2 linked regions of the Ovis aries genome follow. The protein of the gene in region 1 interacts with the protein of each later gene in a biochemical or structural test. Links are inferred from orthologs where the notes say so. Each region holds a gene or a part of one and is shown on either strand. Other genes may lie near its edges.

What was found.
Region 2: the proteins of ARFIP1 (region 1) and ARF3 form a complex in vitro, tested with the Homo sapiens proteins (2 studies listed by BioGRID). The link is inferred for Ovis aries from reciprocal best matches to the Homo sapiens genes ARFIP1 and ARF3.

The regions. Positions count from the first base shown.
Region 1 is NC_056070.1:5,073,746-5,077,652, forward strand, and holds the start of ARFIP1 (arfaptin-1), read right to left. Parts: upstream 2,711-3,907; 5' UTR 2,574-2,710; exon of another isoform or gene 2,210-2,573; intron 2,157-2,209; exon of another isoform or gene 2,097-2,156; intron 1-2,096. UniProt on the Homo sapiens protein: Plays a role in controlling biogenesis of secretory granules at the trans-Golgi network. Mechanistically, binds ARF-GTP at the neck of a growing secretory granule precursor and forms a protective scaffold.
Region 2 is NC_056056.1:137,259,950-137,263,856, reverse strand, and holds the start of ARF3 (ADP-ribosylation factor 3), read right to left. Parts: upstream 2,346-3,907; 5' UTR 1,380-2,345; intron 1-1,379.

The sequences.
Region 1 (3,907 bases):
TAATCTACAGAAATGAAAAGCTCAGCTGAGTTACACGGCTGCTGCGAGGGTGGGATGAGGTGGATGGTCACACAAAGCACCCAGCACGATGCCCGGCCCACAGCAAGCAGACAGACGGACGGCGCCGGGTATCAGTCTTCTGGCTTCCTCGTTACCTTAGAAGGAAACCAATTTAGCATGGTTGATTTTTTTATAAAGGTATGTTTTCTGTTGCCCCCCACCCCCAAAAGTAAGGATGCTAGATAGACGGAAAATAAATTTTTGAGCAGAAGACACTGGTCACTCTGTATGGACTATGATGAGCTGTATAGTTCTCTTCAAGTTTAAACATTCTATAAAATAGGCATCAAACATTATAGAAGGTCAACCCTTGATCAACAAACACTTCATCAAATCAGCAAATTTCAATATGCACTCTGAACTGACATTAAGTTTGGAAGGATACTAATTTATTCACAAAAGAGAATTATCATTAAATTCTTAATCTAGAGGTAATATGGAGAGAAAGGAGATGTCAAGATGAGCAGCAAGAAGACTTAGGGACCACACCAGTGAAACATGCTTTGCCCTTTCTAAATAAGCTGAAGGCCGAAGTAGATACCTTAGGTGAAAAATAAGAAAATGAAAATAAAGTGCAGGAGAAGTTTAAACTTTTACTGAGCTGTACCCAGTGGGTTCATGATATTTAATATGTATTCAATAATCATAAACCTATCAATTTATAAATCCACTGGATCTCTACAACATTGGCCACAAAGAGCTATCCCTAAAAAGAAACCTCAAAACCACAAATCAGGAACTAAATAAGTAGGCAGCCTTACTTCCTTCTCTAGGTCTACGAAGGAATTTAGAAACACTGAAATTCTGAGGTACCTAGAGATTTCATCACCATAAAGCTAGAATCTCTGCATTCTACTCTCCATGGTGCCCAAACTAGCTATGTAGAGTTTGAAAAGAAAAAAAAGCTACACACACACACACACACACACACACACACACACACACAAAAGGTTTTCATTAACTTCAAGAAGACATTGCCGAAGGAGTGGTTTTTAATCTACTAGAGGTTATATATCTCATTTAAGAATTTTCTTCAGAGGGGAGAAAATGCACTGAAACAAAACTCTGCCCATAATTTCGGGGGTGGGGATGAGGAAGTCCCCTGAAACTCACAGACCATGGACTCCCTAAGGCATGACCCAGGATTTAGGCAAACTAATTTATCAATTTGAAAAAGAAGGAAAGTAACTGAGGCAGAGATTTTAATCCAAAAAATAAAATAAAATTAGAAATATTTGCTGTTTTCTCAGTTAAGAAGCGTTAGACCTGGTGGCTGGGAGGGAGGGTTGAGCAAGGAAAAACAAAAGTGGGATTAAAACAGTACTGACATGTAATCCGTTGTCTTCAAATCGAAAGAGCAGCAATAAAAGGGCCACCTCCTACAGCCTTAACACAGGAAGGAGTTAACCAATTCTTGTGCACATTCCCACACCAGTGAGGTTAATTAAACAGCAAATGGGAACACACACACACCTGCCACTTTTGCAGGTGAAAGCACAAGTTTAACAAAAGCCCTTCAAATCGTCCATCTTTTTCTTCCTTAAGAACCGACTCAGAGAAATTACATGTTTTAATCTAGGAGAAAAGGAAGGGAGGGGGACAGAAATCCTAAAAGGGGGATGGTTAAAAGGATGTGCAGGAAGTGGAAAGTACAAACTTTTTGAGATCAAAGAGCTCAACAGGGCGGATAAGAACACAAAGGAAGTAATACTAAAATAAAGTAAAAGGGAAAAGGGTCTAGAAACTGTTCTTAAAAAAACAAAAACAGCAACAAAAGCCTCTTTCCTTTTTCCTAGACACGTAAACAGTAGTAACTTGGCAAAGAGGAACGGACGAGACGACAGCACAACTTCCTTCCCAAACTCCAGCATTCCTTGGACGTCCTCACCAGCACAGTCAGGCTTGGGACATTTCCTAGGCAAGGCTCCTCCCTGCACCACAGCCTGAGGAACCTCTGAGCAGGGACTATCGCTGCGGGAGAGAGGAAGTGGCGGATGCAGGGAAAGAAGATCAGCAATACAGGCTGGACACCAAACCTGAGGGTGGCCCACTCGCAGACTCAGTCGAAAAGACTCGGATCCTGCAGTCCCTTTCCCCACTCAATGCATTCACCACCGGGAGGGTGCCGCCCTGGGAGGGCCGGTCCTACCTCTTCACCCGGCTGTTTCGGGGGCACACTCAGCGTGACAAGAGGGACGAGGGGGTAGAAATCCAAGGCCGAGTACCTGGGTAGAGAGAGATGGCACACACAGTCTAAGGACAGGAGTGCCCTGTGAGAGTACGGAACAGCGAACCCCAGAGGCAACGTGTCCGGCCGGGCAACCAGCTCCAAGCAGCCTTACCCCGCCTCCTTCCCAGCCGGGCAGCTCCGCCCTCACCTGTCTGCAGGGAAGCCGGCAGCACTCACGTCGAGGATTATCCTCGCCTCTGCTCCCTGAAGTCGCCTCAGCCCTGGCCAGAAGTGAGCGGAAACGCGACCTGGGCCTTTTCCTTCTTCCCCTCCCGCCACGCACCTCGGCTCCTCCGGGGCGGGGAGCAACTGCAACTGTCACAGCCTCACACTGCCCAACCTCCGAGGCTACTCGGACCGGCAGCCTCTCCACCGGCGGCGGCCTACAGCTCCTGCACCCGGAGCAGCGGAGCCGGAAGTGAGGGGACCGGAAGTAGCGTTGTCCGTGGCCCTGGACGGCCTCTCTCTCCCTCAATCTGGCCAGCCCAGCCACGTCTCGATGGTGCCAGCGCACCTTCCGCGAGGTCCCCTCTCCAGGGGGGCGGGCCCCGTCCCGCCTACTGCGGCCCTAGCAACCACATCCGGGACTCAGCCGGCGCCGTTGCCCGGGTAATTTTCTGGCTGCGGCCAGGTCCTAGAGGGGTGTGAGCCCGGGTACAGATGCACCTGCCCGAGCTCGCCCCAGGGCGGTCCAGGAGCCCTTAGCATAACTTTCTCACTCACACACCTCAGTCTCACGCGTTAGGCTTTCCCCCAGCAGACGGTGAGCCGGTGGCGGGAGGGCGCCTCGCAATCCCAGGAGAGCCAAATCTTCTTTCTCAACTGCCGGAGAGCACGCAGAAGGTTATTCCAACTCCGCGGGCATTGAGAGGGTGGAGGGAATGCGGGGTTTAGGGAGCAGACGGGATGCGGGTGCCTCACTCTCCTTCCCCAGTGCCCCCCCCCCCGCACCGCTGTCCACTCACGCCCACCCTCTTCTGGACGACCAGACTAGACTCCCTTGTTCAGCATCCCTGAGTTATGATTTGCTGTCTTTGTGATCACTTTCTGCTCTGCTTGCTCGCAGAGAGTGGATCCGTGATCCTTTTCTCTCGTGATCCTCTTTACTCAGATGACCGGTTTCTGCTTTCTTTGCTTGCCCCATTGCTTAATAGATCACTGCCTTGTCTACAGAGACCTCCGAACAGTCCTCTCGGATCCCGTGGTAGTCTCCTAAGTGAAGGCCCCAACCTGCACTCTGGCTATTCTGCCTGTCCCCTCACAGTACGGCTCAGCAGTGGTGCTAGACACTTGAAGCTTATTTGCATACAGTACGTACTGGTATTACAGCCCGCGCTAGTATCCCTTCCAGGTTCTAGACTGCTTTTGACAGCCCTGTCGCCTGCAGAAATGCCAAAGGTAACAGCACACTCCGTGGAATCTACCCCTCGAAACCAGATTTCTCACCTGCCTTGTCAAATTAGCTGACAAGACATTTTTATTGGCCAAGTGCCCGAAGGCAGAATTCTGCCTCTCTAAATTTGTAGGGAGTTTCAGCATAGTAAACCATACATCCCTGTACAAATGCCTATCCCATATCTGTGAAGAGTAAATGCACTACAAATATTTCAAAAGTAA
Region 2 (3,907 bases), on another chromosome or scaffold:
CTGCTATCTGTCCTCCCTTACACTTGCATTCAGTTTAGTAATAGCAGCTACCATTCATTGCCACCAATTCTATGCCAGGTACCAGATACATACACTGGCTCCCTTCTCCATAATTATCAGGAACTCAATCTGCAGACAACTCTGCAGGACCTAGGTCTAAAGGAGAGACTCCTTTGCCCAAAACAGGGAAGCAGGAGATCTAGGATTTCTGCTAAATAATGACTCTGTGTTCTAACACTTTTCTTTTGGGGGTCTTAACTCATTATCCACGACTCTTTTGTGCCTCTTAGGAAACGTGGAGAGACCAAGACCTTAATTACAAAGGGTAAAGACCTTTAGACCCTCACTCAGCTATCTTCAGGAACTCTCTATGACAGCCAAGCCATCTCTTTCTCTTTCCTTAAACTGTGGTCAGAAATCCGGAGTTCAGGACTTTCCGGGGTTTGATCCCTAGTCAGGGAACTAGATCCCACAACTAAGAGTTACCATGCCCATCCTGCATTCCGCAACTAAAGATCCCAAGTGCCACAACTGAGACCCAGTGCAGCCAAATAAATAAATAAATATTTTTTTAAAAAAAAGAAAAGAAAACCTAAGTTCTATTTATTCACATTCAGTATTCATGAGAGCTTACTGTGTGCCCAGGCAGTGTGAGGGACACAAGATGAGATCCAATTCCTGCACTCAAAGTTTCATCTCTTTGGAAAAGCAAGACATACGCATAAAAAATTTGACTACAAAAGAAAAAAAAATTTTTTTTTTTTTACTACCCAAGACAATAACTCTATGCCGGGAGGCAGGAGGAATGTTAATATGTGATACAAGAGGACCCTTCCAAGCTGAATCCAAGGTCAAAGATCCATTCTGTGAAAAGGTGGATCAGTTTCTTTCTTAGAACGAGCTTTTATAGACATGGTATTCAAACCCAAGTCTAATGCACAATGACCAATTCACTGACCCATTCCAGTCATAGCAAGTGGAGACACCCCAACAACAAGCTCAAGACAAAATGGTAGCAAATACTGTCACCACCTGAATAGGGATGGGGAAGAAGTATGCAGACCCTACCTGCACTGACCTAAGCAATCAGACTCCTGCAGCAGATCTCCTACCAAATAAAACTTTCATGCCATAGACCAGGAGTGACCCAATCCAACAGAGACGGAGACGCGTTTTAAGTTACACTTCTTCCTCCCCCGATGACCTCACTATTTCTTCTCACTCCTGACCACATACCACAGTCCTCCAGGCCTAGCCAGAGGGAGACCAGCGGTAATACAAGCCAGAAAGAAGGGAACTCTCCCCAAAGAGGACTTACAACTTGGCTAATCAAGTGGCCCGGTTTTAACAGGGAATTCCATCCTACCCCTCACCCCCACCTTCTTCCCTCAAACACTGGTGTAAGCAACGGCTCCATTTTCGGTTCCGGGAATCCTGGTACTTCCTAAAGAAAGAAAGCGGATTGGAAGACCGAAACTCAGAGCTGGCGACCAGAAGCTCCCTCCTCCTGTGAGACCGCCCCCGCTACGCCTGGGGGAGGAAGGCACCACCTCTCTTCTCTAAGCAAGACCAGATCCCCCTCCCCCTTCTGCTGCCTCCTCTCTTCTGGCTCCCCACCTGCTGCCCTCTTCTCAACATGCGGTTCCCAGGACCCGAAAGCTCAACCTCCACCAGGGGCTAGTGCCCCTGGGGTGTCCCACTAGCCTGTGTTCCAGGTTAATCCCTAACCCCCCTACGGACCCCTGCCCCACGATAGGGGGAGGGGTGTCATCATAGCAAGGCTTCTCTCTGGTCTATTACCAAGGTGAAGGCGGAAAGCGGGTAGGAAAAAGCGCTATTCCCTAGCCCTTTAATAGGAAAAGAACACAAAACAGTCATCGCCGCCCCCATGTCACCTCACCCAGGACTGCTTTCCTCCCCCTCAACCCCGACCCTTCAAAAGCCCACCTCCTGCAGGCGAGGGGCTCCTCACTGCAGCCCAGGTCGCCCCCTTGTGCGAGGCGGAGGACAAAACCGCCCCCCACCCCCACACCAGCTCAGCGTCCTTCAAATGCGGGGGCAGGCGTGTGGCCGGCCCGGCGCCCCCTCCCCGAGCTCTCGGGAGGGAAGGACCACACCGCTCTATGCCAGGCAGTGCCGGGCGGGCGAGCGAGCGGAGAGCGGGGCGAGGGGACTCTATCCTCGCAGCCCCCACCCTGAGCCTCTCCTCTACCCGGACCCGCCTTCCCTCCTCCAAGCCCCTCACCTGTTCCTGCTCCCAGCTCCGCCGCTGCGGCCGCCGCCTCCGCCCCCACAGGCTCCGCTCGGCTCTCGCTCCACTCTCTCCGGCTCCCTCAGCCGATTTCAGCGCGGCTGCTCCCCTGGCCTCGCTCCCGGCTCCCTCCTTCCTGCCCTCCACCTAGCACCGGAAGCAGCGACGGCGACAGGAGCTGTGCGGCGCACCCCCACCCCCAGACCGGGATACTTCCCACCTCCCCGATCGCGCGAGAGCTGCGCACCGGCGAGCGGCAGATCTCGCGAGATTCATCACCATGGCAGCGGCTGCAGCAGAAGCAGTCGGTATTGGAGGCGAAGTCCGGGCGGGGTCCGATGTGGGGGCTGGAATCTGCGGGCGGTGGTGGCGGAAGCTAGGGAATAGGGCTGAGACAGTGGGAACAGGTGAGAAGCCCCAGGGTTCTGCCTGTTATTTAAGGACTGAGGCGGCGTAGTGGGCGCAGTGGAGACTGGGGCTCCTTGGGCAGTCAGGAAGCCAGAGAAGGAGTGAACATCTCTTGCTTTGGACCTTACTCCTTCAGCTCTCATTTTCATTTCTTAACCAGGGATAGGTGTAGGCCTCCGAGAGCCCTCAGTGCACCAGTGTTGCTACTCACTGCTAAGGCTAGGTTGCTGGGGGGTGGGGGTGGGAGCTCTGAATCAGGAGATCTTTTTTCATAGGGAAGAGGGAGAGTGATGAATTTAAGAGACTGAAGGAAACAACTGGACACTGGGCCAGTTAGGAAGTTGGAACTTGAAAGATAAACAGTTGAGGCCTAATATTCAGAAGTGTGGTTTGAGGCAGTATACCTCAAGTATGAATTTTAGTATTACAAGGAAAGTGAGGGATTTTGCACCTGTGTTTCTCTGTTCCTGCCTACTCCCACTTTCATCACACTCATTTTTGCACCTGGTCTAGACATGCAGCGTTACCTTGGAACAGTCACAGCTGTGATACAAGAAGGGCACTAATAATGCTAAGCACAGAAGGTTCTTGAAATGCCCTTTCTCCTCATTTACAGCAGTACAGATTTTCCTTGGCTTACAATGGGGTTACATCCCAATAAACCCATTGTAAGTTGAAAATATCTAAAGTCGAAAGTGCATTTACTGAACATCATAGCTTAACCTAGCCTGCCTTAAACGTGTTCAGAATATTTACATTAGACTACAGTTGAGCAAAATAATCTGACAAAAAGCCTATTTTATAATTGTGTTGACTGTCTTATGTGATCTGTTGAATACTATACTGAAAGTGGGAAGCAGAATGGTTGTAAGTGTGTCAGTTGTTTACCCTTGTGATGGTATAGCTGACTAGGAGCTGCAACTCACTGCCACTACTGGGCATCACAGGAGAAAGTCATACCACATGGCCTGGGAAAAGATCAAATTCAAATCACAGTTTCTACTCAAGGCATATCACTTTTGCACCATCATAAAGTAAAAAAAAAAAAGCATTAAGTGGAACCATTGTAAGTTTGGACCATATGTATAAGGAAACACATGGCTCTTCCCTAAAGCTTGAGCCAAAATTGTCGATTTTTTTCATTAGATTTTTTTGGGCCTTATTTCTTGTCTCCTTCCAAGAAGAACTAGACTGGTAGATAACTCTGTCTACTCCTTGTCCTCATCAATCCCTGGTATATACATTCAC